Callithrix jacchus: one gene and its partners. The protein of the gene in region 1 interacts with the protein of each later gene in a biochemical or structural test. Links are inferred from orthologs where the notes say so. Each region holds a gene or a part of one and is shown on either strand. Other genes may lie near its edges. The genes, in order: CDH1, CCNB1, JUP and CTNND1.

Evidence for each region.
Region 2: of the proteins of CDH1 (region 1) and CCNB1, one has a biochemical effect on the other in vitro, tested with the Homo sapiens proteins (3 studies listed by BioGRID). The link is inferred for Callithrix jacchus from reciprocal best matches to the Homo sapiens genes CDH1 and CCNB1.
Region 3: the proteins of CDH1 (region 1) and JUP form a complex in vitro, tested with the Homo sapiens proteins (2 studies listed by BioGRID). The link is inferred for Callithrix jacchus from reciprocal best matches to the Homo sapiens genes CDH1 and JUP.
Region 4: the proteins of CDH1 (region 1) and CTNND1 form a complex in vitro, tested with the Homo sapiens proteins (5 studies listed by BioGRID and IntAct, with this or other methods). The link is inferred for Callithrix jacchus from reciprocal best matches to the Homo sapiens genes CDH1 and CTNND1.

What each region holds. Positions count from the first base shown.
Region 1 is NC_133521.1:26,355,573-26,362,889, reverse strand, and holds part of CDH1 (cadherin-1), read right to left. Parts: intron 5,313-7,317; coding exon 5,088-5,312; intron 3,591-5,087; coding exon 3,363-3,590; intron 1-3,362.
Region 2 is NC_133503.1:140,374,484-140,382,585, reverse strand, and holds the start of CCNB1 (G2/mitotic-specific cyclin-B1), read left to right. Parts: upstream 1-3,634; 5' UTR 3,635-3,642; coding exon of another isoform or gene 3,643-3,766; coding exon 3,767-3,787; intron 3,788-4,389; coding exon 4,390-4,560; intron 4,561-4,656; coding exon 4,657-4,815; intron 4,816-8,102. Other genes in the region: uncharacterized protein LOC118151518, read right to left, coding at 471-535, 3,310-3,426, 3,643-3,768. UniProt on the Homo sapiens protein: Essential for the control of the cell cycle at the G2/M (mitosis) transition.
Region 3 is NC_133506.1:91,453,742-91,461,812, forward strand, and holds the start of JUP (junction plakoglobin), read left to right. Parts: upstream 1-3,264; 5' UTR 3,265-3,334; coding exon 3,335-3,461; exon of another isoform or gene 3,462-3,777; intron 3,778-8,071. UniProt on the Homo sapiens protein: Common junctional plaque protein. The membrane-associated plaques are architectural elements in an important strategic position to influence the arrangement and function of both the cytoskeleton and the cells within the tissue.
Region 4 is NC_133511.1:115,316,151-115,323,964, reverse strand, and holds the start of CTNND1 (catenin delta-1), read right to left. Parts: upstream 5,082-7,814; 5' UTR 4,964-5,081; intron 1-4,963. Other genes in the region: BTBD18 (BTB/POZ domain-containing protein 18), read left to right, coding at 7,580-7,703. UniProt on the Homo sapiens protein: Key regulator of cell-cell adhesion that associates with and regulates the cell adhesion properties of both C-, E- and N-cadherins, being critical for their surface stability.

The DNA of each region.
Region 1 (7,317 bases):
TATGCCAGAAGCCCAGTGTCCCCAGGCTCCGAGAAAAAGCCTGGCACAGAGTAAGCAACCAAATATTGGAGGAAAACATGAAAAGCTTCAGATTAGGTGTGTCTCTAGTAATTTTTTTAAAGATAGGGATGGGGTCTTGCTATATTGCCCAGGCTGATCCTGAACTCCTAGGCTCAAGCAATCCTGTCACCTCAGCCTCCCAAAGTGTTGAAATTACAGGCATGAGCCACCACGCCTGGCCTCTAGCACATCTTTGCCCTTAAGAAACAAGAAATTGGCCAGGTGCAGTGGCTCACACCTGTAATCACAGCACTTTGGGAGGCCAAAGTGGGAGGATCACTTGAGTTCAAGAGTTCGAGACCAGTGTGAGTAATATTATGAGAACCCATCTCTAATAAAGAAAGAAAAAAATCATAAAAATAAAAATACAGGCCAGACGCAGTGACTCACACTTGTAATCCCAGCACTTTGGGAGGCCAAGTCAGGCAGATCACAAGGTCAAGAGATAGAGACCATACCAGCCAACTGAGTGAAACCCTGTCTCTACTAAAAATACAAAAATTAGCCAGGCGTGGTGGCATGCACCTGTAATGCCAGCTACTCAGGAGGCTGAGGCAGGATAATTGCTTGAACCTGGGAGGCGGAGGTTGCAGTGAGCCGAGATGGAGCCATTGCACTCCATCCTGGGTGACAGAGCAAGACTCCATTAAAAAAAAAAGTAAAAATACAAGAAATTGAACATCTGAGTTCTGGCACTGCCTCTGTTTTAAATGTTGTTCTACATGGGAATCCCCACTCCTAGTGTATAAAAAAATACATACCCATAGCAAATTTAGATAATCCTATTAAAAAAAAATATTTCAAGTATAACTACAATCTTTAAGATTCCCTTGCTGGGCACAGTGTCTCATGCCAGTCATCCCAACACTTTGGGAAGCCAAGGCAGGAGGACTGGTTGAGCCCAAGAGTTTGAGACCAGCCCAGGCAACATGAGGAAACCCTGTTTCTACAAAAAAATACAAAAAATTAGCTGGGTGTGGTGGCTCAGGCCTGTGGTCCCAGCCACCCAGGGGGCTGAGGTGGGAGGATCACCTGAACCCTGGAAGTCAAGGCTGCAGTGAGCTGAGATTACTCCACTGCACTACAGCCTGGGCCACAGGGCGAGACCTTGCCAAAAAAAAGGAAAAAATCCCCTTAGAATGAATATACTAGTCAGTAATCACTATCCCAAAAGCAGAGCAGGCCACTCAAATGTAATTTGATTACGAAGTGGGCTGGCAGGGCTTATGTTACCGTGCGTAAGACAATGATGAATTAACCTAATCTCATGGCACAATAAAGCCATGTAAAGCCTGGCAGAATAAAAGTCCAGAAAGCTTGCTCGATTCTCAACAGCCACTATCCTTCTCTTCGACTTCGGGAGGACACCAGCAGGAAGGGGCAGAAGTAAATGGGATGCCCAGCAAACATTTCCGGAACATTGAAAGGCACCCTTTCCCGGAGTCCACTGAAGCAGCAGCAGCAAGATCAATGGCACCCATTCCCAACCTAAATTGAAAGCCCTCAATTTGGTCCCACTGCTCCCTGCAAAAATCTTTTTCCATTCCCATCAGCTTGGCCTGGTCTCTGCCCTCCAAGGAGTCTACTCAAGCCTCTGCTGTGCTTTGCTAGGAGAGGAACCTTCCTGAATATCCATCTACCCATTGGAATTCTACCAGCACCTGTGGCCTAACCACTTCCACCTTCCACGAGGCTCAATTCACAGCCTTTTCTGACTACAGTGACTACAAAGGCATTTATGAGCTGGACCACCCCTTATGGTCACTAATTACATATGATCTTTAAACATTTCTTTAAAAATTTTTTTTTAAATTAAAAAAATATATTTTTCATTTTTATCTTGTAGAGACAGGGTCTTGCTTTGTTGCCCAAGCTGGTGTCAAACTCCTGGCTTTAAGCAATCCTCCCACCTTGGCCTCCCAAAGTGTGAGCCACCATACCTGGTCAAAGGTTTCTAAGTGACTTGCTATCACTTGCATTGAGAATCATTCGCTTGCTCTTCTATCATTCACATATTTAAAGCCCTACCAGAGTTCTGATGTAGTGTTCTCCATATGGATACTTTGTCATATGATGCACATAATCTGTTTTCATAACTAACTTATTCCTTTAATAGATTCAGTATTTTCTGTGTGTGAATGACAAAAGAATTCGCCTTGACCATAACAGCACCTGTGTCACCCTGAGGGGTCACTGCAGGTGGGCTCCAAGGGAAACAGGTTTAAGGACTATGGCAGAATCTGCCAATTTTCCTCAGCATCCTTTTTCTCCTTTATCCTTTTAGTCATTGACACTCACTCATTGCTCACCCTACACCCATCCCTACTCCATGGCAATTTTCAATTGCAAGTAGAAGCTTCCAGGCTCCCTTGCAGCTAGGTGTGGCTCTGTTTGGGCCAATGGTATATAAGCGGAGGTGACATTGCCTCCAGTCGTGTGGCCTCCACTTCCTCTCTCATCCCCTTCCCCCTTCTAGGATGGAATATAGAGGTGGTGGTGGTGGTGAGCTGGCTAGCCTAGACCATGCTGGGGCAGCCCCCAAGGTCTTGCTACTCTGCCTATGGTCTAAGGAACTGCAACATCAGCACCCCCTGGGAGCTGGTTAGAAATGTGGAATCTGTGGCCCCACACCAGACCTCCTGGATCAGATTTCCCAGTTTACTAAGAGGCCCATGTGATTTGCATGCACTCAAGCTTGGGATGTACTGACTTGAAGGATGAAAATAAACATGATAGAAGAAACCTGGGTCCCCTATTGACTTCATGGCACAGGGTTGCCCTCCCTCCCATCTTAGACCATTTACCTCCAAACCATTTGGTAAGAGACAAACTTCTATTCAATGTAGGCCAGCATAGCCTGGAAGTCCCTTTCCTATATTGGCTAAAAACCATACCCTAACTAATATAAGAACAAATATCATTTGCAGGAAATAAACCTCCTCCATTTTTTTTTTTTTTTTTTTTTTGAGACGGAGTTTCGCTCTTGTTACCCAGGCTGGAGTGCAATGGCGCAATCTCGGCTCACCGCAACCTCCGCCCCCTGGGTTCAGGCAATTCTCCTGCCTCAGCCTCCTGAGTAGCTGGGATTACAGGCACGCGCCACCATGCCCAGCTAATTTTTTGTAATTTTTAGTAGAGACGGGGTTTCACCATGTTGACCAGGATGGTCTCGATCTCTTGACCTCGTGATCCACCCGCCTCGGCCTCCCAAAGTGCTGGGATTACAGGCTTGAGCCACCGCGCCCGGCCCCTCCTCCATTTTTTTTAAGTCAAAGGCTGAGCCACTTGCCAGCTGGACTTACTTAGCAAAGCAAGAATTCCTCCAAGAATCCCCAGGATGGCAGGAACTTGCAATCCTGCTTCGACATACTGTGCCTTTCGACAGACGTTGGCGGTCCCTTCACAGTCACATACGTGAACCTCTAAGGTGGTCACTTGGTCTTTATTCTGGTTATCCATGAGCTTGAGATTGATTTTGTACTCACCCACCTCTAAGTATATCTTTGGCTTCAAAATGAGAGATTCTTGGGCTGGGGGAAGCAATAAAAAGAAATGATGAGACCAGGAGGGAGAGAGAGAGAGGGAAAAAAGCTCGTTCCACAATAAAATTGTTAGTGACCTAAAGACATTTGCAAGCCGAGCAAAGAGAGCAGAGCTGCTTGGGTTTTAGTTAGGTATCTACTCTTTTTTTTTTGGCTGTAAAAAGCTTTATTTCCATTTGGTCTAAGGCTTGGTAGAGGGCTCTAGGGCAGGTTAAAAAGCTGACTAGTGGCTGGAGGGAGAGACTCAGGCAGAGAGTGGCTCTTCAGATTTGCTGGGCTCAGTAGGCTCCTGGTTGTGCCTTAGGGTGAACCTTTCAAAGAGGTACTCTCCCAGCCTGGGCTGGGGAATGGCCAGACTGCAGAGGTTGGTCAGGGGGTCACCTATCTTCCTGATGAGTTTCACTTCTTCATCAAGGAAGTGGCTCTCCAGGAAGTCACAGAGATGGAGGTCTGTGTGGATGAAACCCAGGGCATGAAGATCCAAAAGGCTCGGTTCAGGTTCTTCTTTAGGGCCAGAGCGACTTCCATTGTGTCCAGGGTTTTACCCCATTCATCTTTTTTTTTTTTTGGAGGCAGAGTCTCACTTTGTAACCCAGGCTGGAGTGTAATGGCATGATCTCTGCACACTGCAACCTCCGCCTCCCAGGTTCAAGTGATTCTTCTGCATCAGCCTCCTGAGTAACTGGGATTACAAGCATACACCACCACTCCCAGCTAATTTTTGTATTTTTAGTAGAGAGGGGTTTCACCATCTTGGCCAGGCTGTTCTCGAACTCCCAACCTCATGATCCACCCACCTAGGCCTCCCAAAGTGCTGGGATTACACATGTGAACCACTGTGCCCAGCCTACCCCATTCATCTTGACATGGCTTCTGGATGTTCTAGAGGACAGCATGGCCACCACACTGGTTTTGCGTTTATTTCAAGACATACTCAGCACCCTTGCGTTTCTCCTTGGCCAATTTGTGGAATAAGTGGCCCACGCCTTCCAGAGCCACATCATCACAGTGGAAATAGAAGCCCAGAGAGAGGTTGATGTAGGAGGCCCACAGATGCAAATTGACCAGGCAGTCGACAGCTGCCTCCACCTCGGTGGAATAGTTCTGACAATCTGGGAGTTCATGGTTCATCGGCAAGAAGGAGCTAACCACAAAAATGGCCTTGTTTCGTCCCAGGAGCGGGAGGTGGCAGAGAAGACAGTCCCGGAGATTGCAAGTGGAGAGGAGATTGGAGGGTGGTTAGAGGCTGGGAGAGGGAGCCCTGCTTGGGTTTTATATTACTGGGTAGCATGCTACAAAGCTAGATACCAAGAAAGGAAAGAGACCTTTGGAGTAAGGCCTCAAAGACAGAATGAACAAGGAAACAAGTATCAACAGAAGGGGTGGCATTTGGAAGTTGAGAAGAGAAACTGAGAGGTGGGGATCTGGGGGAAGGAAAGCATGGCAGTCACAGCACAGTTGCCAAAATAAAGCTCAGGTACTCGCTTGGGTCATTGTACTCAATGGTCCAGTTGGCACTCGCCCCATGTGTTAGTTCTGCCGTGAAGGGAGATGTATTGGGAGGAAGGTCTGCATCAATGATGTTGATGACTTGAGGCTCTGGATTCCTCTCGCAGAAGTACAAATTTCGGGGTTCTGGTATGGGGGCATTGTCATTCACATCAGACAGGATCAGCAGAAGCGTCCCTGTTCCAGTAGCAACTGGAGAACCTAAGAGAAAATACAGAGGAAATGTTACAGCTCAGAAACAGTCATGGATCCCCACTGCCTTCTACCAGACCCAATCCAGATCTTGTCCTAGCTCTTCAGTCGTCCCTCACCAGGCCCCACTCCATCCCCAGAACCTCCCATCCTACCAATCCCAGGGCACCTCCATTCCCAGGTGGGCAGGCCTCTGACCGTTTTACATAGACAAGCTTATTCCCACCTTGATAACCATTATTCAAGTTATTCCTCATACCAGGGACACCCTCCTCCTTCTTCACATGCCATTATTCATTCATTGAATTTTAACAGCTCCAAGAAATCATTACTGCCTGCTTGCTGTCTCCCTAGTTCTTTTTCTGCGCTTTCATGCCATTTAAGGTCATTACCAAAGCATTGAGTCTTTTATTTTTATTTTAAGCCACACTAGAAGTTTAAAATCAAAGGGGATAAGTTGGGTCTTTTTAAGTCTCTGCAAATTGGTTTTCAAAATAGATTTGGGAATTCATACACACTTTTTTTTTTAAGAGACAGGGTTTCACCATATTGGTCAGGCTGGTCTCAAACGCTGAACCTCAGGTGATTCACCCACCTCGGCCTCCCAAAGTGCTGGGATTACAGGCGTGAGCCACCATGCCCAACCTTTTTTTTCTTAAGGCAGGGTCTCACTCAGTCACCCAGGCTGGAATGTGGTGGCATGAACAGAGTTTACTGCAGCCTCTACCTCCTGGGCCTAATCTCTCACCTCTGCCTCCCTAGGAGCTGGGACTACAGGCGCATGCCACCATGCTTGGCTAGTTTTTAAACTTTTTTGTAGGGGTCGGGGGGTCTTGCCATGTTGTCGAGGCTGGTCTTGACCTCCTGGGCTCAAGTGATCCTCCTACCTTGGCCTCCTAAAGTACTGGGATTATAGGTGTGAGCCACTGCACTCAGCCCATCCACACTTCTGTTTGCATTTCTTTTATATCCTGACACAAAACCAAGCATATGGTAGTAGGAAAAATTGGTATCCAGGGAACTATCATCAAGATTAGTATACAACAGGGAAAGAAAACAATGGAGGAATCCATCTCAAACCTATAAATAGATATGTTTAGATGGCATCACTGTAAATTTTTAAAACTTTTTTTTCTCACATAAAATGTCTTTTCTTTTTGAGATGGAGTTTCACTCTTATTGCTCAGGCTGGAGTGTAACGGTGCGATCTCGGCACACTGCAACCTCTAAGCCTCCTGGGTTCAAGAAATTCTTCTGCCTCAGCTTCCCAAGTAGCTGGAATTATAGGCATGCACTGCCATGCCAGGCTAATTTTGTACTTTTAGTAGAGACTGAGTTTCTCCATGTTGGTCAGGCTGTTCTCGAACTCCTGACCTCAGGTGATCCACCTGCCTCAGCCTCCCAAAGTGCTGGGATTACAGGCGTGAGCTACCATGCCTGGCTAAATTTTTTTTTAAACAATGAGCACAAGTCATTTAACATTAACTTAAGGAGTCCAGGCATGATAACTCATACCTGTAATCCCAGCATTTTGAGATTATGGGCAGTATGTTGCCCAGGCTGGTCTTGAACTCCTGACCTCAAGCCATCTCCCACCTCAGACCCCCAAAGTGTTGGTATTACAGGTGTGAGCCTAGCACCCAGTCTATAAATGTATTTAAATACACAGAAACAGTCTGGAAGGACCCTCACCTAGTTCATTTCATCCAGATGGGTATTATCACTTTTCAGGTAAAGGAATTATGGGACACACAAATTAAACAGCAAATCCAAGGTCACACGACTATTAAGCTTTGGACCTAGAATGTAAACCATTGTTGTCTGCTTCCCTTAGGGTTTTGCCATGTTTCCCAGGCTGGTCTTGAACTCCTGGGCTCTAGTGATCCTCAGACCTCAGCCTCTCAAAGTGCTGGGATTACAGGTGTGAGCCACTGTGCCCAGCCCATTTGAATTTTTTGATAATAAGAATGCCTTTGTTTAAGAATAAAAGGAAAAACAAGGCCGGGTGCAGTGG
Region 2 (8,102 bases), on another chromosome or scaffold:
CAAAATGGCACATAAACCACTTCCAGAGGCCTCATTCCTTCTTCTCGCCAAGACCTACATTCAGAGTAACATTACATTAGCATAGGGAACACAACCTGTAATTTTGGTGAATTTTGTAGGTATGCTTCCAAGTGCCTGAGAGTCATTTAAACCAAATATACAGTTAGCCCAGTCAAATTGAACGTAAACCTGTAGCCCAATTTCATAAGAACCAATCTCGATTGGAATGTCTTGAATAAAGCAATCTGCTTCCATAAAGTCATCTTCTCCTAAAACCAAAAAGTTCCTGGGGTTCCTGACTCAATTACCTGAGTTCTGACAAATGTGTATATAATGGGTCAAAACGTGAGCTTAAATTGAGAAGCCTGAGCCCATAGCTGTATTCTCAGTAATAGCAACAACTAAGACTAACCTTTTGAAGCTTTTTCTTTTTTTCCTTTTTCTTGCTCTTCAGGAGTTTGACAACATACCTTTGAAGCTTTGTGATGTTTCTCCCAGAAGACAATTTTGGATCTGTCACTTGCTTCTGGAGCATCTAGGCAAATATAAGGAGAAAAAGTCAGACGTCTCTTGTGGTTGACAAAACTTAATGGCTGTAGTTGATTTTCAGCAAGTATGGCAGACAATCCTGTCTATAATTATACTACAGTAATACTACAATTATACTACAATAATAATAATAAAATGGAGGAAGCAGAGAATCCTCTGTTAAAGTATACTAAATATTAATTCAGAAAAAGTATACTAAATATCAATTCAGAAGGATTTAGTCAATAAGAACATAATACAGGCCCAGTGCAGTGGCTCATGCCTGTCATCCCAACACTTTGGGAGGCCAATGCAAGAGGCTTTCTTGAGAGCCAGAATTCAAGACCAGGATGGGAAACATAGCAAGACTTCATCTCTGCAAAAACACGAACACAATATGGATCAACTGTGAGAGTATTGACAATTGCCAGTTCCCTTAATTTTTTTTTTTTTTTTTTTTGAGACAGAGTCTTAAAAGTCTAAGGCTGGGTACAGTGGCTCACACCTGTAATCCCAGCACTTTGGGAGGCCAAGGCAGATGGATCATCAGCTCAGGAGTTCAAGACCAGCCTGGCCAACATGACGAAACCCTGTCTCTACAAAAATACAAAAAAATTAGCTGAGTATGGTGGTATGTGCCTGTAGTCCCAGCTACTTGGGAGGCTGAAGCAGGAGAATTGCTTGAACCTGGCAGGTGGAGGCTGCAGTGAGCCAAGATCACACCATTGCACCACTCCAGCATGGGTGAGTGAGATTCTGTCTCCAAAAGAAAAAAGAAAAGGAAAGAAACCATTCTGAAAAGACTACACATGACTACATATTGTATGATCTCAATATGACATTCTGGAAAGGACAAAACTATAGAGGCACTAAAAAGATCAGTGGTTGCAAGGGTCTAAAAGGAGAGAGGCTTGAATAGGTGGAGCCTAGGGGACTTTTAGGATAGTGAAACTTCTTTTCTTCTTCTTCTTCTTTTTTTTTTTGAGATGGAGTCTTGCTCTGTCGCCCAGGCAGGAGTGCAGTGGTGCAAACTCAGCTCACTGCAACCTCCACCTCCTGGGCTCAAGCCATCCTCCTGCCTCAGCCTCTTGAGTAGCTGGGACTACAGGTGCCCACCACCATGCCCAGCTGATTTCCTGACGGGGTTTCACCATGTTGGCCAGGCTGGTCTTGAACTCCTGGGCTCAATCCACCTGCCTCAGTCTTCCAAAGTGCTAGGATTACAGGCATGAGCCACCTTGCCTGGCCAGGATAATGAAACTTCTGTATGATACTACAATGTTAGATATGTCATCAATGTCATTATATATTTGTCAAAACCCATAGAACACACAATACCAAGAGTGAACCTTAATGTAAACTATGGGCTTTGGGTAATAATGTGGTGTCAATGTAGGTTAACAGATTATAATAAAAGTTCAACTCTAACGTGGGATGTCAATAGTGGGGAAGGCGGTGAAATGCTCTATATTTTCTATTCAATTTTGCTGTGAACCTAAAAGTTCTCTAAAAAAATAAAGCATATAAAAGTAAAAATTATTTTTAAAACTGGAACACAGAGAGGACTGATCAATCCCAGAAAGACTGAGGATGGATGTTGAACACAGAACTGAAGGATGAATGGGAATTAGCTAGATAGAACCCAGGGGCTTGAGGGCAAGATGAGGCAGGCACTCCAGGAAAAGGTAAGGGCCCCCTGGCCGGCATCCAAGTAGGAGGGGAGAACTATGATGACAGAAGACTGAATAACGATCAACGAAACCAAATGATTGAGTGCCTTCTTCTGGATCCTTGACTTCCAGAGCCAGGAGTCTCTATTGGCTCTTAGACCATTGCTCTATGAAATATCAATCTTTTTGTCCTCTAGCCTCTCCTCCAGTTGCTGAGCTCCTGGTGTGTTTTGAGGGGTAGAAGGCAAAAAGGACCCTCTTGTTTTTCTTTGGATCCAGAGAGAAATTGAGCAAATGACAAAGCAAATGGGATTAAATGTATTTTATTTTGTTTTTCCTGATCTTCTCATGAGAGGCAAATACAGGTTAAGGATGGGTGAATCTGTGTAAAGGATATAGAAATGTTCCTTACAAGATTTTTGTTGGCAACTGGTCTAAGTATGATATTATTTCCAAATAGAAAGCTAAAACAAACAAAACAATTGGCCTTGGGAAACTGGCCAGTCTTGAAGTAATCAAGTAAGTAGAAGCTGGGAGGTGACTTTTTAAATTATTATTATTTTTTTTATTTGAGACAGAGTCTCACTCTGTCGCCCAGCTTGGAGTGCAGTGGCGCGATCTCAGCTCACTGCAACCCCCACCTCCTGGGTTCAAGCTATTCTCCTGTCTCAGCCTCCCGAGTAGCTGAGACTATGGGAAACTGCCACCATGCCCGGCTAATATTTGCATTTTTAGTAAAGACAAGGTTTCACTGTGTTAGCCAGGATGGTCTCAATCTCCTGACCTCATGATTGGAAGGTGACATTCTTAAGGGACAACCAGTGTTGCAAAAATAATACGAATACCCATCCTCCCTCCCCTCAAAAAACCCCTAAATTCAGTTCTTCGCTTGCTAATGTGTGATCCTGGCAAAGTCATCTAAGCCGCTGAGCTTCAGTTCCTCCACTCCATAGAGTTGTTGCAACTATCAAATGAAAGAACGTATATCAAAGCCTTTCATGAACTATATTATTGCTGCTACCGTAGAAATGGAAAGTGTGTAACAATAATTTGGACTAGATCCAAAACTACTTTGGACACTTCTGAGACTGTGGCCGCGCGCCACTGTCACCTTCCAAAGGCCACCAGGCTTTCCCAGATCTGGCACGGGCAGCGCACCCCCCCCCGCGCCCCCGCTTTCCAGGTAGGCGGCGCACGCGTTGCTAGGCTCTCCAGGTGACCGCGGCAGCTGCCCGAGAGCGCAGGCGCGGAGGCAGACAACGTGAGAACCTGGCCACGCCTTCCGGCCTTAGCGTCACTCTGACCCCGCCCCTCTCGAATGCAATCTCGGGATCGCCCTGGAAACGCATTCTCCGGGAGCGGCAGCCGCCAATGGGAAGTTAGCGAGTGCCACGAACAGGCCAATAAGGAGGGAGCAGTGCGGGGTTTAAACTTTAGGTTAGGCCGGCTCTTCCCGGCCTGCTGCGGAGGAACGGTTGTTGGTTTCTGGTGGGTTCAGGTCCTCGGCTGGTCGGGACTCCGGTGTTCTGCTTCTTTCCGCTGAGCTGCTGCCTGGTGAAGAGGAAGCCATGGCGCTCCGAGTCACCAGGGTGAGCCGTTGCGGACTGCGAACTAACGCGGCCTTCCTCGCAGCTGCCTGCTGGAGCCCCCCGAGCGGGAGAGGGCTTCAGGAGAGATTTGGGGAGGAAGGTGGGAGGGGAGTCACCAAGAGAACCGAGGTGGGCCCAGGCCTGGTGGGGGGTGTGGGGGACGATGGACGGAGGGAGGAAGGTGAGAAAGAGACCTGGACGGACATTGGATAAATGTTTGGGGGAGGTGGAGAGTCTAGGAACCTTTTGAAAAAGTTATGGAGGGTTCCTGAGTGGGCCCGCCAGCAACTGCGTAACCCACTTTCCAGAGAGATGGAATCAGCAACTGGAGGCTTTTTCGGTTTCCTTTCAAATGTAAATTCTCAGTATTTTAGGGCTGGCGAGGACTAATTAGGAAATCCCTCTATCGGTAAATGTAGAGGTTCTCGGTGGAAATTGACTTGTCACGGCCGCAGAGTACACTCTGGGACCCACGTTTTCCCTTGGAACCCATATTTAGTCGGCTTTCCTTCTGGGAACCTCTCTTGTGCCCCACCTTAATTAACCCTTGACTTACTCGAGCTTCCGTGGACCAGCTCTTAAAGTAGTCTTGCTTCTTTCAGAACTCGAAAATAAATGCTGAAAATACGACGAAGATCAGTATGGCAGGCGCAAAGCGCGTGCCTATGGCCCCTGCTGCAACCTCCAAGCCCGGACTGAGGCCAAGAACAGCTCTTGGGGACATTGGTAACAAAGTCAGTGAACAGCTACAGACCAAAATGCCTATGAAAAAGGTAGCCCTCTTCCTGACCTAACTAATGTAAGAGCCCGCCTTCCAGCTGTGGTCCTTGATGCAGAAATATTCCATTCTCTCTGTTTCATCTACACAGGAGGGAAAACCTTCAGCTACTGGAAAAGTTATTGCTAAAAAACTACCAAAACCTCTGGAAAAGGTACCTATGCTGGGGCCAGTGCCGGTGTCCCAGCCAGTGCCAGAGCCAGAACCTGAGCCTGTTAAAGAAGAAAAACTTTCGCCTGAGCCTATTTTGGTAAACTTATTCTTAACATTGTAGAGTCTTGTTATTTCTTCTGTCCCTTATTTCACTGACACATGCAAGAACATTCAAATAAATAGTAATATTAATATCATTTATTGAGTGCCTAGCATGAGGCAAGCTCTGCCTAACATTTTACATGCAGTAACTCACGTAATCTTTACATGTACTCTCTGAGGTAGATATTATCACCTCTACTATTTAGGTCATGGCTTTAGAAAGGTTATGTCAGGATCACACAGGTAAGTGGCTCATATGGGATTCAAGCTCAGGCTGTCTGACTTCAGAATCTATGCTTTTGTTACGACTTTCTTATATTACTTTCTTTGTTAATGATATTAAGTAGTAGCTGCCTGAACCAAAGGTTTTATTGTCCAAGAACAAGCTATCTCGCAGAATTTATCCTCATAAACATAGAATATTCTCTTGAATTTTTTTTTTTTTTTTTTTGAGACAGGATTTCACCATGTTGGTCAGGCTGGTCTTGAACTCCTGGCTTCAGGTGATCCGCCCGCCTCAACCTCCCAAACTGCTGGGATTACAGGCGTGAGCCACAGTGCCCGGCCTGAATTTTTTTTTTTAACTGCCTAATATGGCTACTAAATAATAAGCCCGTAACATTGGAATATGTAAATGAATAAAACAGGAAGAATGCAACTCTTCAGGGAGTGGTTAAGAAGATGAATTAACATTTAGCCTCAAAGAAAAAAAAATGTTATAACAGGATGTTTTAGAAAAGAAAAAAAGATTTAGGCTCAAGACCAATAACTTTATATTAAATATCAAATGTGTAAAGGTGTCCTATCCTGTGAAGGAAAGGTAGGTCATGTAGAGGAGGATGCTTTGAAATTGCAATGAACTGCATTTTGAAGCTCTGTTTGTTTTAAACTTAGTTAAAACCAGTTAAGAAAATTACCTGAAAAAAAATTTTTTTTTAAGATAGGGTTTTACCATATTGGTCAGGCTGGTCTCGAACTCCTGAGCTCAGGTGATCCGCCCACCTCAGCCTCCCAAAGTGCTGGGATTACAGGCATGAGCCACCACGCCTGGCTTGGAAAAAAATTTTTTTGAGACGGCAGTCTCACTCTGTTGCCCAGGCTGGAGTGCAGTGGCACAATCTCGGCTCATTGCAACCTCTTTCTCCCAAGTTCAAGCAATTTTCCTGCCTCAGCCTCCCAAGTAGCTGGGATTACAGGCACACGGCACCATGCCCAGCTAATTTTTTGTATTTTTAGTAGAGACAGGGTTTTACCATGTTGACCAGGGTAGTCTTGATCTCTTGACCTCGTGATCCACCTGCCTCGGCCTCCCAAAGTGCGTGAGCCACCGTGCCCAGCCAGTTTTTGTATTTTTAGTAGAGATGGGGTTTCACCATGTTGGCCAGGCTAGTCTTGAACTCCTGACCTCAAGTGATCCACCCACCTTGGCCTCCCAAAGTGCTGGGATTACAGGCGTGAGCCACCATTTAGCTTGAGCCTGGCCAGTTTAGCTTCTTATATCTAAGGATAAAAGATTGAAAGATATTGCTTTAGTGTTGAATTTCTGGTCATAGTACATGAAACATGTAGCCAGCACAGTCTAACTGGGCATATCAAACTACATGAGGCTTTCTTGAAAGGCCCATATTGATTCTTACCTTTGCTTTCCCACTTAGTAAGGATGCCTTCCCCACCCTGTCTTTCATTTAGCTAATAACCTTTTCATCCTTGAAAACAGCTCAAGCATCAACTCCTGAAGCTTTCCCTAACTTCCCCCATCTCCACCCCTGTTCCTAGAATCCATCTTTTTTTTTTTTTGAGTTGGAATCTCAGTCTGTTGCCTAGGCTAAAGTCCAGTGGCGCGATCTCAGCTCACCGCAACCTCCGTCTCCCAATCTCAGCTCACCGCAACCTCCGTCTCCCAGGTTCAAGCGATTCTCCTGCCTCAGCTTCCCGTGTAGCTGGGACTACAGGCACGTGCCACCATGCCCAGCTAATTTTTTGCATTTTTAGTAAAGGCAGGCTTTCTTTTTTTTTTTTTTTTAAGGGATGGGGTTTCACCATGTTGGTCAGGCTGGTCTCAAACTCCTCAGGTGATCCACCTGCCCCGGCCTCCGAAAGTGCTGGGATTACAGGGATGAGCCACCACCCCCAGACTCAGTCTTATTTTGAGAAGGAGTTTCACTCTTGTTGCCCAGGCTGGAATACAATGGTGTGATCTTGGTTCACTGCAACTTCCACCTCCCGGGTTCAAGCAATTATCCTGCCTCAGCCTCCCAAGTAGCTGTGATTACAGGCATGTGCCACCACACCCGGCTAATTTTTGTATTTTTAGTAGAGACAGAGTTTCTCCATGTTGGTCAGGTTGGCCTCAAACTCCCAACCTCATATGATCCGCCCTCACTTTGAGAAGCCATGAGCCACTGTGCCCAGCCAGTCTTATTTCTTTACTTAACTTTGTCTATTAAATTAAGAGCCCTTGAGGATGCAATGAAGTCAATGCCTTGCAGAGTTTGACTTGAAGAAGGCGCTTAATACATTTTTGAACAGTGGGATAAAGGGAGTTCAAAGGAAATGGTTAATGGTGATGGAGTTAGTTAATCTTTACTAGTCAGGACAGAATTTGTGTTCTTTTGAGTAGTGAGAAGCAGTTTATATTTTGAAATAAAGACTAAAGACTGAATTATCATTTATTTGGATTAACTTCACATTTTGCTCATAAAGATTAATTAATTCTCAGTTTCCTTTGGAGGGAAGTCTAGATGTGAATTCATTGGCTTCCAACTTTAAACTGACTTTAAGTTGGCATTTCACTCTTTTTTTTTTTTTGCCCAGGCTGGAGTAGAGTGGTGTAGTCATAGCTCGCTGTATCCTCAAACTCCTGGGCTCAAGTGATCTCCTGCTTTGGCCTCCTGAGTAGCTAGGACTACAGGCAACTGCCTTCACCCTGATGCCCATATAATTTAAACATTTTGTTGTAGAGATGAGTTCTTGCAATGTGGCCCAGGCTAGTCTGGAACTCTGGTCTCAAAGTATCCTCCCACCTCAGCCACCAAAATTACTGGGATTACAGGCTTGAGCCACTATACCCGACCTCATTCTTTTTATTTGAGCAATTAAATGAAGACTTTTTTTTTTTTTTTTTTTTGACAGAGACAGGGTCTTGCTATATTGCCCAGGCTGGTCTTGAACTCCTAGCCTCAACCTCAGCTTCTCAAAGTGCTGGGATTAAAGATGTGAGCCACTGCACCCAACCCAAATGATCTCTTTTGATGTTACTCACTTTCTAAAAAGAAATGGAAT
Region 3 (8,071 bases), on another chromosome or scaffold:
CTGAGGTCAGGAGAAATGGGAAGGAGTTAGGCCAGGCTTGGGGCCGGGAAGTATGTTTGTGTGCCTGTGTGGAAATGGGAAGGTGGGAGATGGGCAGGAGGGGGAAGAAATGAAACCCCGGCAGCTTCAGCAGTTCAGGATTGTGAGCCCTTTCTCTCCCCAGCTGTGGCCTGGCCACAGCTCTATGTGACAGGGTGACAAGCAGGTGGATGGGGCAGGGGTAAGGCAGGGATAAAGATAGGGAGGTAAGCTAGAGGAGGGGAAGTTGGGGAAACAAGCAAAGGGCAGTGGCTCTGGGTATGGGATGGCCACTAGTCCAGGGATGTCCATATGTCCCTGGCCCTGCTCTTGGATGGCGTGACTTCAGAAGGGAGAATATTCAGCTGCCAGTCCTTTCTCCAGTGGGGAAAATGGTCAAGGATGCTGCTAAGGTACCTTCATCCAGCCCATCCTGTGTGCTAGCTTTGAGGCTGTAGAGCTTTGTTGATGGGGGACCCTTTTCTTTTCTTTCTTTCCCCCCCCGCCCCGAGATGGAGTTTCGCTCTTGTTTACCCAGGCGGGAGTGCAATGGCGCGATCTCAGCTCACCGCAACCTCCGCCTTCTGGGTTCAGGCAATTCTCCTGCCTCAGCCTCCCGAGTAGCTGGGATTACAGGCGTGAGCCACCGCGCCCGGCCCAAATGGGGGACCCTTTTCTAAACCACCATTCCCCCAGCACCCACCCACAGGCTCCTTCTGCATATCATTCTATGAGCTCAGTGAAGGTTGAGATTTTTATTTTCTGTGTCACCAGGTTTTACTTTCTGTATTCACCAGTGCCTAACATACAGTTGACACTCAATACTCAAGTGCTGAATGAAGGAATGTTTGTAGGGCCCTTGACACACCATACAGCCACCAGCAGCATAAGCAGGATTCACATCATCAACTACAGAAAGGAAGTGTCCTTGTCTTCTTAAGCTGCCTATGAGAAGTTCTTATTTTTTTGAGACAGAGTCTCACTCTGTCACCAGGTTAGAGTGCAATGGCATGATCTTGGCTCATTGCAACCTCTGCCTCCTGGGTTCAAGCGATTCTCCTGCCTCAGCCTCCTGAGTAGCTGGGATTATAGATGCCCACTGCCACACCGGGCTAATTTTTGTATTTTTAGCAGAGACAGTGTTTCACCATGTTGGCCAGGCTGGTCTCGAACTCCTGACCTCAGGTGATCTGCTTGTGTCTGCCTCCCAAATGCTGGGATTACAGGTGCCCACCACCATCCTGGCTAATTTTTGTATTTTTAATAGAGACAGGGTTTCACCACACTGCCCAGGCTGGTCTCAAACTCCTGACCTCAAGTGATCTGCCCACCTTGGCCTCCCAAAGTGCTAGGATTACAGGCACAAACCACCACACCTGGCTGAGAAATTCTTTCTGATCTCTACTCCAGGCTCTCCCACCGTGGAGGGGTATGCTGCCCAGTTTCTTTTTTCCTTGGTTTGAGATGGAGCCTTGCTCTGTCATGCCCAGGCTAGAGTGCAGTGGCAGGATCTTGGCTCACTGCAACCTTTGCCTCCCAAGTTCAAGCAATTCTCCTGCCTCTGCCTCCCAAGCAACTGGGATTACAGGTGCCTGCCACCATGAAAGCCTAACTTCTATTTTTAGTAGAGACGGGGTTTCACCATATTGGCCAGGCTGGTCTCAAACTCTCGACCTCAGGTGATCCACCCGCCTCGGCTTCCCAATGTGCTGGGATTACAGGCGTGAGCCAGTGCACCCCGCCTGCCCTGTTTCTTTCATGCTAGGGCTGGATTTCCTTCAGATCTGCAGCTTGATGTTTCCAAGCCCACCAAAGCCTCCTGACACCAATACTGTATTTTTGGGCCAAGCAGTTGTTCTATCTCACCTCCAATTTTTCTATCTTGTCTCTATCTTGTGCCTTTTCTCTGCCCCTTCCCCACTGCCTTGACATTTTATGTCTATGCTCTTCTTCCATGAGGGGAACAGCTGATTTGGTGGTCCTTCAAATGAGAGGAAGGTGGTTCTAGCTTGGGGTGTGTCACTTTGTAGTTTTGTGATTTCTCTGAACCTCGGTTTCTTCATCTTTACGATGAGGATCATTTTCTAGTCCTATTTTTCAGAGCTGTCACGAGAATTAAAAAAGAAAAACGAAAACAAAAAACCCATACCATTAATTTAAATTCTAATCTTTATCAGTTTCTGAGTGCTTCCACAAACCTGACTTCATTTAATCCCCACATACTCCAGTGAGGTAGATATGGCTAATGTACCCAGTTTACAGATGAGGAGAAACAGCGGGAAGGGTGAAGTAACTTGTCTAAGGTCATAGTAAGCGGCAAAACACAAACCCTGGCCTTCTAATTCTGAATCCCAGAAGTACTCCATCTTTGGGGAAAAAAATCCCAACCCAGCACAAAGCCTATGAAATGCCATACAAATATGTTATTACCACTTTGGGGCAAGGATGAATAAGCCCAAAGAAGCATCATGCCTGACGCTGAGTTGGCTGGCTGGTGAAGGCGTCTGTCCCTTCCCTTGGTATCCCCTGACTTACCTGTTGGACAGGTAGGGGGAAGGGGAGAGTAGTGAGTCTCACCTGCTCAGAGCAAGGGTGGGGCAAGACACACCCCATACCTTCCATTGGTTTTTTTCCTTAGTCTTACTGACAGTCCCTTGCCCAATCAGGAGAAAGTAACTTTCTATCTGCCAATTGGTGAAGTGTTAGGATGAGATCTCAAGTTAGAGTCCATCCCTAGAGCCGACTGGCAGTCCCTGGGGCCAATGGCAAGCGGATAAACAGAGGCGGCCGTGGAGAAGGACTGGACGCGAGGCTCCACCCCTTGACGGGACAGTCAGGCGAGACAGCCAGTGAGCTCGCATCAGCGGGTGGGCGTCTCCCCCAGGGGCGGAGTTTCGAGGTGGCGAGGGGCGTGGCTTGGCTGTCAGGTCTCTTCGCCTTTTGTTCGGTTACTGAGTTGCTGCCTTGGCCAGAGTCCGGAGCAGCCGCCGCCCGAGCGCGCCGAGTTCAGTTCGCTGTCCGCGCCGGCTCCCACCCCGGCCCGATTTCTACCCGGCCGGCCAGGCCCCAGACTCAGGTGCGGGCGATCGAGGACAGGTATCGATGGGGAGAGAAGGGGTGGCGAGCGGCCGCGGGGCCGGTCCCAGCAGTCTCTGGGCAGGTGAGGGCGGGTGCCATGGAGCGCCACCCTGCACTGGCAGCAGGGGGCGCGCTGGGGTCCTGGGCGCGGCGACTGGGGGGGCGCGCGGTTCGGGCCGAGCGCGCTTAGGAGCTCCGCGAGCGGGAGATCTGAGCAGGGCGGGAGGGCTCCGGGCAGATGCCTCGGGGGTCGCGCCCCTCCCGGGGCCCGCACAGCTCGCCCGACGCCGCGTCCCTGACTCTCGTCCTGAGCTGGAGGGGGAGACTTTGCCCTGCTTTGACTGCGTCCCAGGGCTCTCGCTGCAGTCAGTAATTTACCGTTTGGGAAACTTGCTGCCGCTGGTCTCTTTGGGGCCACCCTCACCCCACCCCACGCGTCATCCTCGCTTTCCCTCCCTCTCTACTCCCCCAGGCCTGGGTGGGGCCCTATTGTCTGCGCCCAGCTTGCCCAACTGTGGGGGCCGAGCGCACATTTTCCCAGTGACGCTGGCCCCACCTGCCGAGCAGGTGAGCGCACGGAGTCCAGAGGCCCAGCCCTCCAGCTCCCGGAGCCTCGTCGATACTACCTGCGGCGCCTCCCTCCACTCCAGTGGGTGCCCGGCTCTGGCTTCTCCAGCAGAGGTGGGATGGAGTGACAGTGGGGGCTGGTGCACGGCTCGGCCCAGTGTCCAGCTGGTGTTTGGCACCCGTGGCTCGGTCTGGGGGGAGGGGTCTGTGCACGAGTGAAGCATTCAGGGTCACCTGGCCCAGTTTCCAGTAGCTGTGGCTGCCAGAGTGTTGGTAGGGGAACAGGAATCGTCTTCTTTTCTAACCTCTTATTGTTGGAAAAATCACCCAAAACAAACTTTGCAGGAGGAAGTATTCACAGCAGCGTTCTCTGGGGGTTTTCCCGTCTCCTTGCCCAGAACTTCCTTTAGGCTTAGGAGGTCCTTCTTGGTGCAAAGTCCCCTCCCCCAGCCGGCCCCCGGCTGAACCTGGGCCTTTGCCTGCGCTCTGACCCTGGCTTCCCTGCCCCCACATCCATCCTGTTAGCTGCGCCCCAGGGGCCTGAGGTGGGGGCCGGGGTGGGGTGGGTGGAAAGGGCCGAGAGGGGAAGCAGCTTCTTCCTTCTCTTTCTCTTCCTGCCTCCGGGGACCACCACACCCCCTCAGACATGGCCTGCGTGAGTGGCTCTTTCTCAAGCTCTGCCCCCTCCCCAGGAATGGGGGTGGGGCAGGGCTGGGCCAAGCTAGGAAGGTGGGGGGAATGGATGTTCTTGTCTTTTTTTTTTCTCTACCCCATCCCCCACATTACTTAGCTGGCTGGTAATTGAGGCAGAAGAGCATGAGGCTGTGGGGCTTGCCTTCCATTTGATTTCTGAATTATGAAGGTGCATGCTTTCTGGAGGCCTGGGCAGACCTTTCCTATCCCCTTTCCTGAAAGAATTTGACAGGGAAAGTGAGACTGGAGAAAGGCTTTTGGAGGGGAAGGTTTCTTCAATGTTAGACTCCCTCAGGAGAGGTGAATGCCCCCCCCCACCGCCCCCACCTCCTTCCCTACTCCCAATTTCCTGAGACCCCGCCTCCAGAATTGGGGGTCGTCACCAGGCTTTCTACCCTGGTTTTAAAAAGTCCTAAGTGCGGTCATTTTGCAGGATTTGGAGCCCAGCCTTGGGAACAGAGAGGGAATATAAGAGTTGGGTTCTCTCTCAGTCCTGGGGGTGGGAGAAAGATTGCAGAACTGGGGATCGAGAGTGCTTGGAGGGGAAGAGCCTGCCACCTCTTTCTTTGCTGTAGATGGGGGATTGAGGCTGGGGGGCCAGACTCAGCCCCTTTGTCCTGGGTGGGGATCATGCACAGCCCTGGACCAGGGGGAAGCCAGTGTGGGAACTCAGATCCTTTTCTGCTGGGGAAAGGGGTGCTGCCTGCCTCTGGGGAGCAACAGGGCACGGAGTTTGGGCAAAAATAACCTGCTTTCCCTCTTCTCCGTGCCAAGGTGGAGGAGGGGAGGGCATTGTAATTGTGTTGGCTAAATGATTAGTTTAGCTAATCTGGTTTGTGGCTATGATGAAAAGATACTACTGAGGAAGTACTGCTAGGAGATGCCTGGTGAAAACTGGCCACTGACTGGACTGGGGGCGCGGGGGAGGAGGAGAAGATAGGATCCAGTTAGTCATTTCTTGCTAGATGGAGCCCAGCTTGGGTGACTTGAGCCCTCCCGAACCCACTCCACCCCTCCCCTGCACCCTGGCTCCACCCCATTCCCTCTGGAACTTCTGTTTGGAATGCCAGGGCTGAGGCTTTGAGAATTCAGTGCATAGGAACAAGAAAAGACAGGCTAGGGCTGCCAGCCTTTTTCCCTTCCTGGAGCCACTTTAGGATGAGATCGGTCCATTGACTAGTCTACAGAAGGACTGTTTATTTGGAGAGATGGGATGGTGGGGCAGTTCTGAGCACAGGGCTTTGGGCTTGAACTGAGCTGGGTTTGAGACCCACCTCTGTCCCTCATTCCATTACCTGAGCCTCAGTGACCTCTTTGTCAAAATGGGAATACTAATACCTATCTGCCCTGTAAGTACTTGACAAATGGTAACTCAAGATCAAGGTAAGACTTTACAGAAACCAAGCACTTTCATTAGCTAGTCTCACTTCAAACTTAAGGCTGCCCAGGCTCGATGGCTCAAACCTGTAATCCCAGCACTTTAGGAGGCCCAGAGGGGCAGGTTGCTTGAGCCCAGGAGTTCCAGACCAGCCTGGGCAACATGGCAAAACCCTGTCTCTACAAAAAATAGAAAAATTAACTGGGCATGGTGGTGCAAGCCTGTGGTCCCGGCTACTGGGAAGGCTGAGGTGGGAGTATTACCTGAGTCCAGGGAGCTCAAGGCTGCAGTGAGCTGTGTCACCGTACTCCAGCCTGGGCTACAGAGTGAGCCTCTGTCTCAGAAAAAAAGAAGCGGGTATCATTATCCCCATTCTACAGATGAGGAAATTGAAACTCAGGGAACTTAAGTAATTTGCCCAGGGTCGTACAGTGAGACCCAAGCAGCACCAAGACTGGCATTTGGGCCCTGATTCCAAGCCCAGAACCCATCCTGCCGTATTGCCTCATGTAGCTCTGAAAAGGATTTTTTTTTCTTGAGATGGAATCCGCTCTGTCACCAGTCTGAAGTGCAGTTGTGCAATCTCGGCTCACTGCAACCTCCACCTCCCGGGTTCAAGTGACTGTCCTGCCTCAGCCTCCCAAGTAGCAGGGATTATAGGCTCGGGCCACCATGGCTGGCTAATTTTTTGTATTTTTAGTAGAGACAGGGTTTTGCCACGTTGGGCAGGCTGGTCTCGAACTCCTGGCCTCAGGTGATCCATCTGCCTCAGCTTCCCAAAGTGCTGGGATTACAGGTGTGAGTGGAAGTTTCTGCACTCCCTTTTGAGAGCCTCTGGCTGAGAAGAGAATAAAGAATGTGGCTGGTGAATGTAGGGCAGGTTTGGTAGGCACGAGTGATACCTGTCCCGGCCAGCAGCCCTCTGAAACCTCCCCAGTGGCTTGATCTTTAGTTCCCAGTGGAGGAGGCTTCTCCGTAAGGCAGGGCTGTGGTGAGTGTTGGGAGGAGGTTGAGCAGGAAACAGGAGGCCGGGGTCAAAGCTGTGCTGCCTCCTAGCTTGACTTAGGTAGAACCATGGGTGTTTTGGGCTTGTCCCTGTGTAAGAGGTGGGAGTTGCCTGCTTTGCTGGAGGCTGGGGTTGTGCCAAGATAACGGGGTGCTGCTCTGTGGGGAGTGGAGAGAAACGGGAGTCTGATTTAGGCCTGGGCTAATGCCCTGCTGGAGTGGGCCAGGCAGTGCTGCCAGGCTGCTCTTGACGGGGAACTGGCTGTCCTCTGCTCTGGAGCCCAAGAGACCTGAGATAGGCAGCTGCCGGGAGGGCCTTTCTGGTGATGGAGGTAGGGGGCATGCGTGCTGCCTGTCAGCCAGAGCCTTGGCCCTCTAGGGAGGAGCTGGTGTCAGATTGTCCTCCAGACCTGCCTGGTTCTGGCGTTGCTGCCAGCTGGACATCTGACACCAGAATGGGCGTGGATTTGGGGTCTGGGAAATGGGTTCTCTTTATGTGATGGTGCAGCCGGAGTACCAAGCTTGCCACTACCATTCTGCATCCCATGAGGGCAGGTGGGGACCCTGGGCCTGGGGATGATTGATTGTGGAGAAGGCTAATGGGACTTGAGACAGAGGAAAAGAGAATGCACCCTGTCCTGCTGACTGACTGCTACCGAGAGGGCATGAGGTTGCAGGTTTCCGCCTCCCCTGAGGACATGAGAGCTACAGCACGATGCTCTTACAGAAGGGACGAAGCCTAGATGGGAGGAAGGGCTTTCTGCCTTCTACAGACAGATCTTGAGTTGAGGGGTAAGAGGGAGAGGCGGAGGCGCAGCATTGACTCTTCTCTGATGAGGGCCGTCCTGTCTGGCAGGGAGGCCAGGCAGGAATCACCGCCCTTTGGGGAGACTCCTTATCTTGAATCTTTTGCGGGAAGAGCAGCCTGGCAGTGAGAGGGAGAAGCATCTGTGAGCTGGCCCCATGACCCCTGTGAAGAGGAAAAGCAGTGTGGCTGGGCAGGCCACCAGGGCTTGTGTTCCGCAAGTGACACTGAGAGGCCTCTCCTGGGACGTGGTTGAATCTGTGGACATGGAGTATCTCCTTGTGCGGCGACTTTCTCTGCCAGATCTGAAGGGACGGCTCGAGGACCACTCCCCCGTGCTCAGCCTCCTGGTGTCTTGGCCTTCGGGGCCCTCAGGGCAGGAAGCTCAGTTTTCTTTCCTCCTCTCTTCTCCCCGCCCTCATGCGTGGCTAATTTTTTGTATTTTAGTAGAGATGAGATTTCACCGTGTTGGCCAGGATGGTCTCGAACTCCTGACCTTGTGATTCGCCCACCTCAGCCTCCCAAAG
Region 4 (7,814 bases), on another chromosome or scaffold:
AGGAGTTCCAGGCTGCAGCCATGATAACAGAGCACAACCATATCTCAAATAAAAAAGAGAAAGAAATGGTCTGAGATTTATGCAAAAATAGATTAAAGAGGGGTAAGAGTGAAAGCAAAACAAGTTTATTTATTTATTTAGTTAGTTAATTAATTTTTTTTTTTTGAGACAGAGTCTCGCTTTGTTGCGCAGGCTGGAGTGCAGTGGTGCGATCTCAGCTCACCACAACCTCCACCTCCTGGGTTCAGGCAATTCTCCTGCCTCAGTCAGCCTCCCAAGTAGCTGGGACTACAGGTGCATGCCACCATGCCCAGCTAATTTTTGTATTTTTAGTAAAGATGGGGTTTCACTACATTGGCCATGTTGGTTTTAAACTCCTGATCTTGTGATCTGCCTACCTCAGCCTCCCGAAGTGCTAGGATTACAGGCATGAGCCAACTCGCCCAGCCAGTTTATTTTTTTACCATCTCAGTTGATTGTAACCTCCTCTTCCTGGGCTTAAGTGTCTCCCCAGTAGCTGGAATTACAGGCATGCACCACCACACCTGGCTAATTTTTGTATATTCAGTAGAGAGAGACTGGGTTTCGCCATGTTGGCTAGGCTAGTCTCAAACTCCTGACCTCAAGTGATCCGATTGCCTTGGCCTCGCAAAGTGCTGCAATTACAGGCATGAACCCATCAATAGATGGACTTCTATCAGTAGATAAGAAGATACGTTTTACACATACAGGATTGTTTTATGTATTTTTTCTTTTTCTTTTTTTTGTTTTGTTTTGATACATGGAATATTACACTCCATGCTCAGATTTACAGCCCTCAAAGTTTAACGTCCCCATCTACATTACCACATACAAACAAAGAAAAACAATACCATAAAATGGTGAAAGATTAGGAAAAAGCCAAGAAAGGCAGGGAAAAAAAGTGTGTTTAAAATATTAAAATTATTATATAGGGCAGAGTTCTGTGCCATGATTATTCTAGTTCTAAAATAAACTAAAACAGCCAGGTACAGTGACTGATGCCTGTAATCCCAGCATTTTGGAGGCCAAGGCAGGAGGATCATTTAAAGCCAGGAGTTCAAGACAAGCCAAGTTCAAGAAACACTGCAAGACCCTCATCTCTACAAAAAAAACTTAAAAAAAAAATTAGCTGGGAATGGTGGTGCATACCTGTGGTCCCAGCTAATTTGGGGGGCTGAGGTAGGAGGATTGCTTAAGCCCAGGAGTTCAAGGCTGCAGTTAGCTGTGTTTGTGCCACTGCACTCCAGCCTAGGTGACAAAGTGACATCTTGTCTCAAAAATAAAATAAGCCTGGGGGAGGTGGCTCATGCCTATAATCCCAGCACTTTGGGAGGCTAAGGCAGGTGGATCAACTGAGGTCAGGAGTTCCATACCAGCCTGACCAATATGGTGAAACCCTGTCTCTACTAAAAATACAAAAATTAGCCAGGTTTGGTGGCATGCACCTGTAGTCCCAGCTACTCGGGAAGATAAGATAGGAGAATTCCTTGAACCCAGGAGGCGGAGGTTGCAGTAAGCCAAGATCAAGCCTGCACTCCAGCCTGGGCGGCAGAATGAGACTCTGTCTCAAAAATAAATAAATAAACAAACAAATAAATAAATAATAAAGTAAAATAAAATAGACTAAAACTATAAATGCCAAGGAGAAGAAATTTTAAAAATTCAACTTCAAAAACCCTTCTGCTTGCTATCCAAATGTTACATAAAAAGAAAAAGAAAAAAAACCCACTGCTTATCCATAAAAAGAAAAACAAAATATTTTTACTCCTTTCTACCCTCTGGTGGTTACATATTACAATCCGAAGTTTGTCATTTTTGAAGCCCTGTATATGATAGCCATTTACCAATCCCTTTAGAAGTTCTTTTTTTTTCTTTTTTTTTTTTGAGACAGAGTCTTGCTCTGTCACTCAGACTGGAGTGTAGTGTTATGATGTCAGCTCACTGCAACCTCTGCCTACTGAGCTCACGCAATTCTCCTGCCTCATTCTCCCAGGTAGCTGAGATTATAGGCATTCACCACCATGCCTGGCTAATTTTTTTATTGTTAGTAGAGACGGGGTTTTGCCATGTTGGCCAGGCTGGTCTAGAGCTCCTGGGCTCAAGTGATCTGCCTGCCTGAGCCTCCCTAAGGGCTGGGATTATAGGCATGAGCCACCATGACCTGTCCAATCTTAAAAAATTCTACCAACACAAGATTTAACTAAAATGATGTTAGATTGAAAAAATAAGAAGTCCTCTCCACTTCTTGAAAATTAATTTAATCCTGATGGCAATATATTAATGAGAATATATACATTTATAATTACCTTACATCTCCACAGAATCATCTATACTGCTACTCTACCTGCCCAATCAAGTCCTGATTCTATGGTAACAGATGCCATAAACAAGGGTTGTTCTGCCTTCTCTTTTGTTTTCTTTGCTTGTTTACTTGTGTGTGTTTGTTGTGCTATTGTTGCTGCTGCTGCCAACATCTAAAATCTTTCCTCCTTCTGCTAATTTTTATGTCCTTTCACAAACTGCTTCTTCTTCAAAGTCAGACAACATCAACCAAAAATGTTTTCTGTTCCTTGTTTCTTTCTCCACCTCAACACCAGCAGCCTCAGTCTAGGGGAAATAGTACCTGACTTGGAAATGCATTCCCCACACCACAATTTCAGTCAACAACCTCAAATCCTTTTTGAAAGGGTGTTAGATATCAATAAGGACATTTGGTGTGACCTCAACGTTTTGTCCCTTTGCACATTGCCCTTCTCTTAGCATCTTTCTTCCTTTCTACCTCCAGTTGGCCTCGGCAGGAGCTGGTCCATTTCAATTCACTGTACTTTGTCACCAGTGGCTTTAGATTCAGCTATTCTTGTCCAGAACTGGACATCACAGAGCATCTAATGAGGGCAATAACTGAAGCCAGGGCCCAGGTCCTAACACACACAGGGGAAAGAAAAAACTGCTGTCCATAATTATACCATGGGTTGGCATTCTCTGTAAACATTTAATCTTGAGATAATTAGGCCAGGCATAGTGGCTCACATCTGTAATCCCAGCACTTTGGGAAGCTGAGGCAGGCAGATCACCTGAGGTCAGGAGTTTGAGACCAGCCTGACCAACATGGTGAAACCGTGTCTCTACTAAAAATATAAAAATTAAAAAATATATACAAAAATTAGCCAGGCGTGGTGGCAAGTGCCTGTAATCCCAGCTTCTTGGGAGGCTGAGGCTTGAGAATTGCTTAAACCCAGGAGCCAGAGGTTACAGTGAGTCAAGGTCATGCCACTGCACACCAGCCTGGGCAACAGAGCAAGGCTCTGTCTCAAAAAAAAAAAAAAAAAAAAAAAAAACTTGAGCTAATTTAATTTTTAATATCCCTGAAAACAGCTAACTCCAGTCAGAAACTGGGCTAAATAAATTGGGCCAGGCTCAGTAGCTCATGCCTGTAATCCCAGTACTTTGGGAGAATGAGGTGGGAGGATCAATTGAGCCCAGGAGTTTGAGGCCAGCCTGGGCAACATAGGGATACCCTATCTCTATTTTAAAAAAGAAAAGAAGAAACAGAAAGAGAGAATGAGAAAGAAAGAGAGAAAGAGAAAGAAGGGGAGAGAAAGAAAAAGAGAGAGAGAAAGGAGAGAAAGAAAAAGGAAAGAAGAAAAAAGGAAAGAAAAGAGGCAGAGAGAAAGAAGAAAAAGAGGAAGGAAGGAAGGAGGGAAGGAAGGAAAGAAAAAAGAGAATAAGAGAAAGGAGGGGGTGAGGAAGGGAAGAAGGAAGGAAGGAAGGAGAAGGGAAGGAGGGAGGGGAGGAAAAAAGAAGAATAAAAAGAATATCAGTCTGAGCACGGTGGCTCACGCCTCTAATCCCAGCACTTTGGGAGGCCAAGGTGGGTTGATCACCTGAGGTCAGGAGTTTGTGACCAGCCTGGCCAACATGGTGAAACCCCATCTCTACTAAAAATACAAAAATTAGCTGGGTATGGTGGCAGGCGCCTGTAATACCAGTTACTTGAGAGGCTGAAGCAGGAGGATCACTCGAACACGGAGGTGGAAGTTGCAGCGAGCAGAGATGGTACCACTACACTCCAGCCTGGGTGACAAGAGCCAAACTCCATCAAAAAATTAAAAGGAAAGAATAAAGAAAGAAAGAAAATCAGCCAGACGTGGTGGCACTCACTTGTAGTCCCAGCTATTCAGAAGGCTGAGATGGAAGGATTGCTGGAGCTCCAGAGGTCGAGGCTGCAGTGAGCTGAGATCGCACCACAGCCTGGGCAATATTAATTAACTGTTGTTGTTGTTTTTTCCTGAGACTGAGTCTCGCTCTGTTGCCCAGGCTGGAGTGCAGTGGTGCGATCTCAGCTCACTGCAACCTCCGCCTCCCAGGTTCAAACGATTCTCCTGCCTCAGCCTCCCAAGTAGCTTGGCTTACAGGCGCAAGCCACCAGGCCTGGCTAATTTTTTGTATTTTTAGTAGAGATGGGGTTTCACTATGTTGGCCAGGCTGGTCTTTAACTCCTGACCTGGCGATCCACCCGCCTCCGCCTCTCAAAATGTTGGGATTACAGGCGTCAGCCACCACGCCAGCCTAATGCATTTTTTTAATCGTCTCTGTAATGATAATGGAGATTATTTTTTAAAAAATCGTCTCTGTAAGGATAATGCAGATCATTCCGGGGGGAATTTCTGCAAAACCCCTGGGTCACTAGTTCTCCAAGATTTGGGGGTGAAGAAACTGAATTCAGATACTGCCCAAGGACCTTATTCCAGAACATCTCCAGTTATAGGAGATAGCTAGGTTAGCGAAGTGGGAGATCCGGTGTTAGCAAAGCCATCCAGAGACTTCCTCCACGAAGCCTGGAGGGTTCCCAGCAGGGCCAAGGCCATCTGCTGCCTCTTCAAGGGGAAGACAGACATGCCCTGTAACCGCATTGGTGCCTGCTTTGCTACAGCATCCCTACCCTCTTTTTCGGTGTGTCTTCATCGAGTGCTGAGGGAGACGACGGCTTCCACAAGAATTCCTCCCCGGCGGGCCTTTCCCCCCGCCTCTTGCAGCCCAGCCATCTTCCCTCAGCCCTCAAGTCCCTCGAGAGTTAGACTCCCGCCCAAAGCGCTCCTTCTGCTCTGATTGGTTCTCCCCGAAGCCTTCGGCCAATGGGGATGACGTATTCCGGGGGACGTAGGCCCGAGGGCTCGGGAGGAGGAGGGGCGTCGGGCTCAGCGACGCGCCGGGAGCGAGGGTGGTGGCACGAGGTGTGTGCCGCTGGCCGCTTGGCCCCACAACCCTCGCTATCACCACCACTCGGTGCATGTGGGTGCGGAGCCCGCAGAGATACAAGAGCGCCAAGGGCCGCCTGCAAAGCCGGTGCTGTCGGAGGTGGCCGTAACGGGAAGTCCTGAATTTGGGCCTCCGGGATCCCCACACTGCATTCCCAGAATCCCTCGCGCCTAGAAGTCTTTCTTCAAAGGAGTTGGGCCAGGGCGTCCAAGCGTGCGGGGCACCCCGCTGTGCAGGGCTCTGCCTGAAGTCCTGTTTTCTCCGCCAACACCGATTCCCTTGCTTCTGGACAGGGAGGTGAAGCACTCAGCTACTGGCCCACCTGTGCTTCTTTGCTCAGCCTTTGGACTCAAGCTTGGACACTGAGGAAGCAAAGCAGACTGGACAGAGGACAAGCACAGGGCGGACAACAGGAGCAAAGGACTGCAAAGCTATTCCAGGTTGGGTCTCGGGGCAAGGCCGGGCGCTCGTGGATGGGAAGCTTCCCCAGGGCCCTTGCAAGAGCTGCCATCCTCCATCCCCATCTCTCTTACTGGGATGGGGATTGATTGAGCCTGCCTTCTCTTTTTCATCCACATCTGTCTTCTGGAATTGAGCCTGTATACAGTGTGTGTGTGTGTGTGTGTGTGTGTGTGTGTGTGTGTGTGAAAGAGCGAGCGAGAGGGAGTGTGTGTGAGAGTGAGAGTCTCAGGCTGGAGTGCAATGGTTCTATCTCGGCTCACTGCAACCTCCGCCTTCCAGGTTCAAGCGATTCTCCTGCCTCAGCCGCCTGAATAGCTGCGATTACAGGCGCGTGCCACCATGTCGGGCTGATTTTTGCGTTTTTGTAGAGATGGGGTTTCACCACGTTGGCCAGGCTGGTCTCAAACTCCTAACCTCAGGTTATCCGTCCGCCTCGGCCTCTCAAAGTGCTGGGATTACAGGCATGAGCCACCGCGCCAAGCCGGAGGCTGTCTTGTCTTAATTTACCTTTTCACTCTTCTTTCCTGATAGTTTTGACGTGAATTGTTCGGACCCTCAGTGCCACCTGATAGAAAACGGCATTCCAGGAAAGGAACACAGCTGTGCAGTGAGTGTGGGGGTTTCGGTGCTAAAAAGCTGGACATGGGCCGGGCGCGGTGGCTCAAGCCTGTAATCTCAGCACTTTGGGAGGCCGAGGCGGGTGGATCATGACGTCAAGAGATCGAGACCATCCTGGTCAACATGGTGAAACCGTTTCTACTAAGAATACAAAAAATTAGCTGGGCATGGTGGCGCGTGCCTGTAATCCCAGCTACTCAGGAGGCTGAGGCAGGAGAATTGCCTGAACCCAGGAGGTGGAGGTTGCGGTGAGCTGAGATTGCACCATTGCACTCCAGCCTGGGTAAGGAGCGAAACTCCGTCTCAAAAAAAAAGCTGGACATAAGCCTTAAGTCAGAATACTCAGTTTGTTTTGGAAGGGGGAAAATGCTTAACTCTCCTTGCTCCATTGGTAGCCTGGTAATTAACTATACAAACCTAAAGGCCAAATTCTTTGCCTACTGCGAGGGTCAGTCAGGCTCGCTTTGGTCAAGTACACCCAGCCGTGGTTCTGTGAGAGACCTTCTGGCAGAGTCAGAGGCTTCCCTTCTTTATTGTGCACCCTCTGCTGGTGTGATAGAGTGAGCTCAGAGAAAAGAAGAAGGTGCATACAACTTATTAGACATGATTTTATACCCACTATTGTTTCCTTAAAAGTGTTAAATTGAAGATGATACCCATGGAGCTGGGATGTGGTGCTCAGGAAGAATACGAGTAGTCAGCATTGTAGCAGTTGAGTCTCAGTGGTAATGGAAATGAGGAAGCCTGAAGGATAATAATAGCTGTACCATTTAGGACATGGTAGTTATTTTGTGCCAGGCACTTACTGTGCTAAGCAATTTTACCTTCATTGACTCATTTATTGTTTAACAACCCTACAAGGTAAGTACTATTATTCCCATTTCATGGATAGGAAAGTGAGACTCAAGAGAAATTAGGTCACCTGTGTGAGATTATACAGCCAGGCTAATAAATAGAGCCAAGACCCAAGCCTAGGTTTATCTCTGAGCTCCCACATGTAACCACTCTGATAATGTTCTTTCTTGAGATATCCTTGGCACAATTTCTGGGCTGGTTTCCTCAACTATATTATAATAGATACCATTTTCTCTTACTTTCAAATTTCCCCTGCCATTTAAAAGACAAAAAACAAATTACATATAACCGTGCCTCTGAAATGTCTTATCTCACCTACAGGAGTCTGACTTGTGAAAACCTAGAAGGTTAAGAGTCTGCCAACATGTACTCTCCTGCCAGTCCCAAAATCCTATACAGGAACCCTCGGTTCCTCAGGTTAGCTTTTCTGCAGCTTCATAACCAGCAGCAGAGTGGTGTGTTCTGTGATGTCCTTCTGCAGGCAGAAGGTAAGAGACTGGTGGGAATTCATCTGAAAACTCACCATAGACTAAGATAAAATGAGTTCAGGGCCAGAGGGTAAAGGACAGAATCAGCAAAACGTTACTGCCTTTGACCAC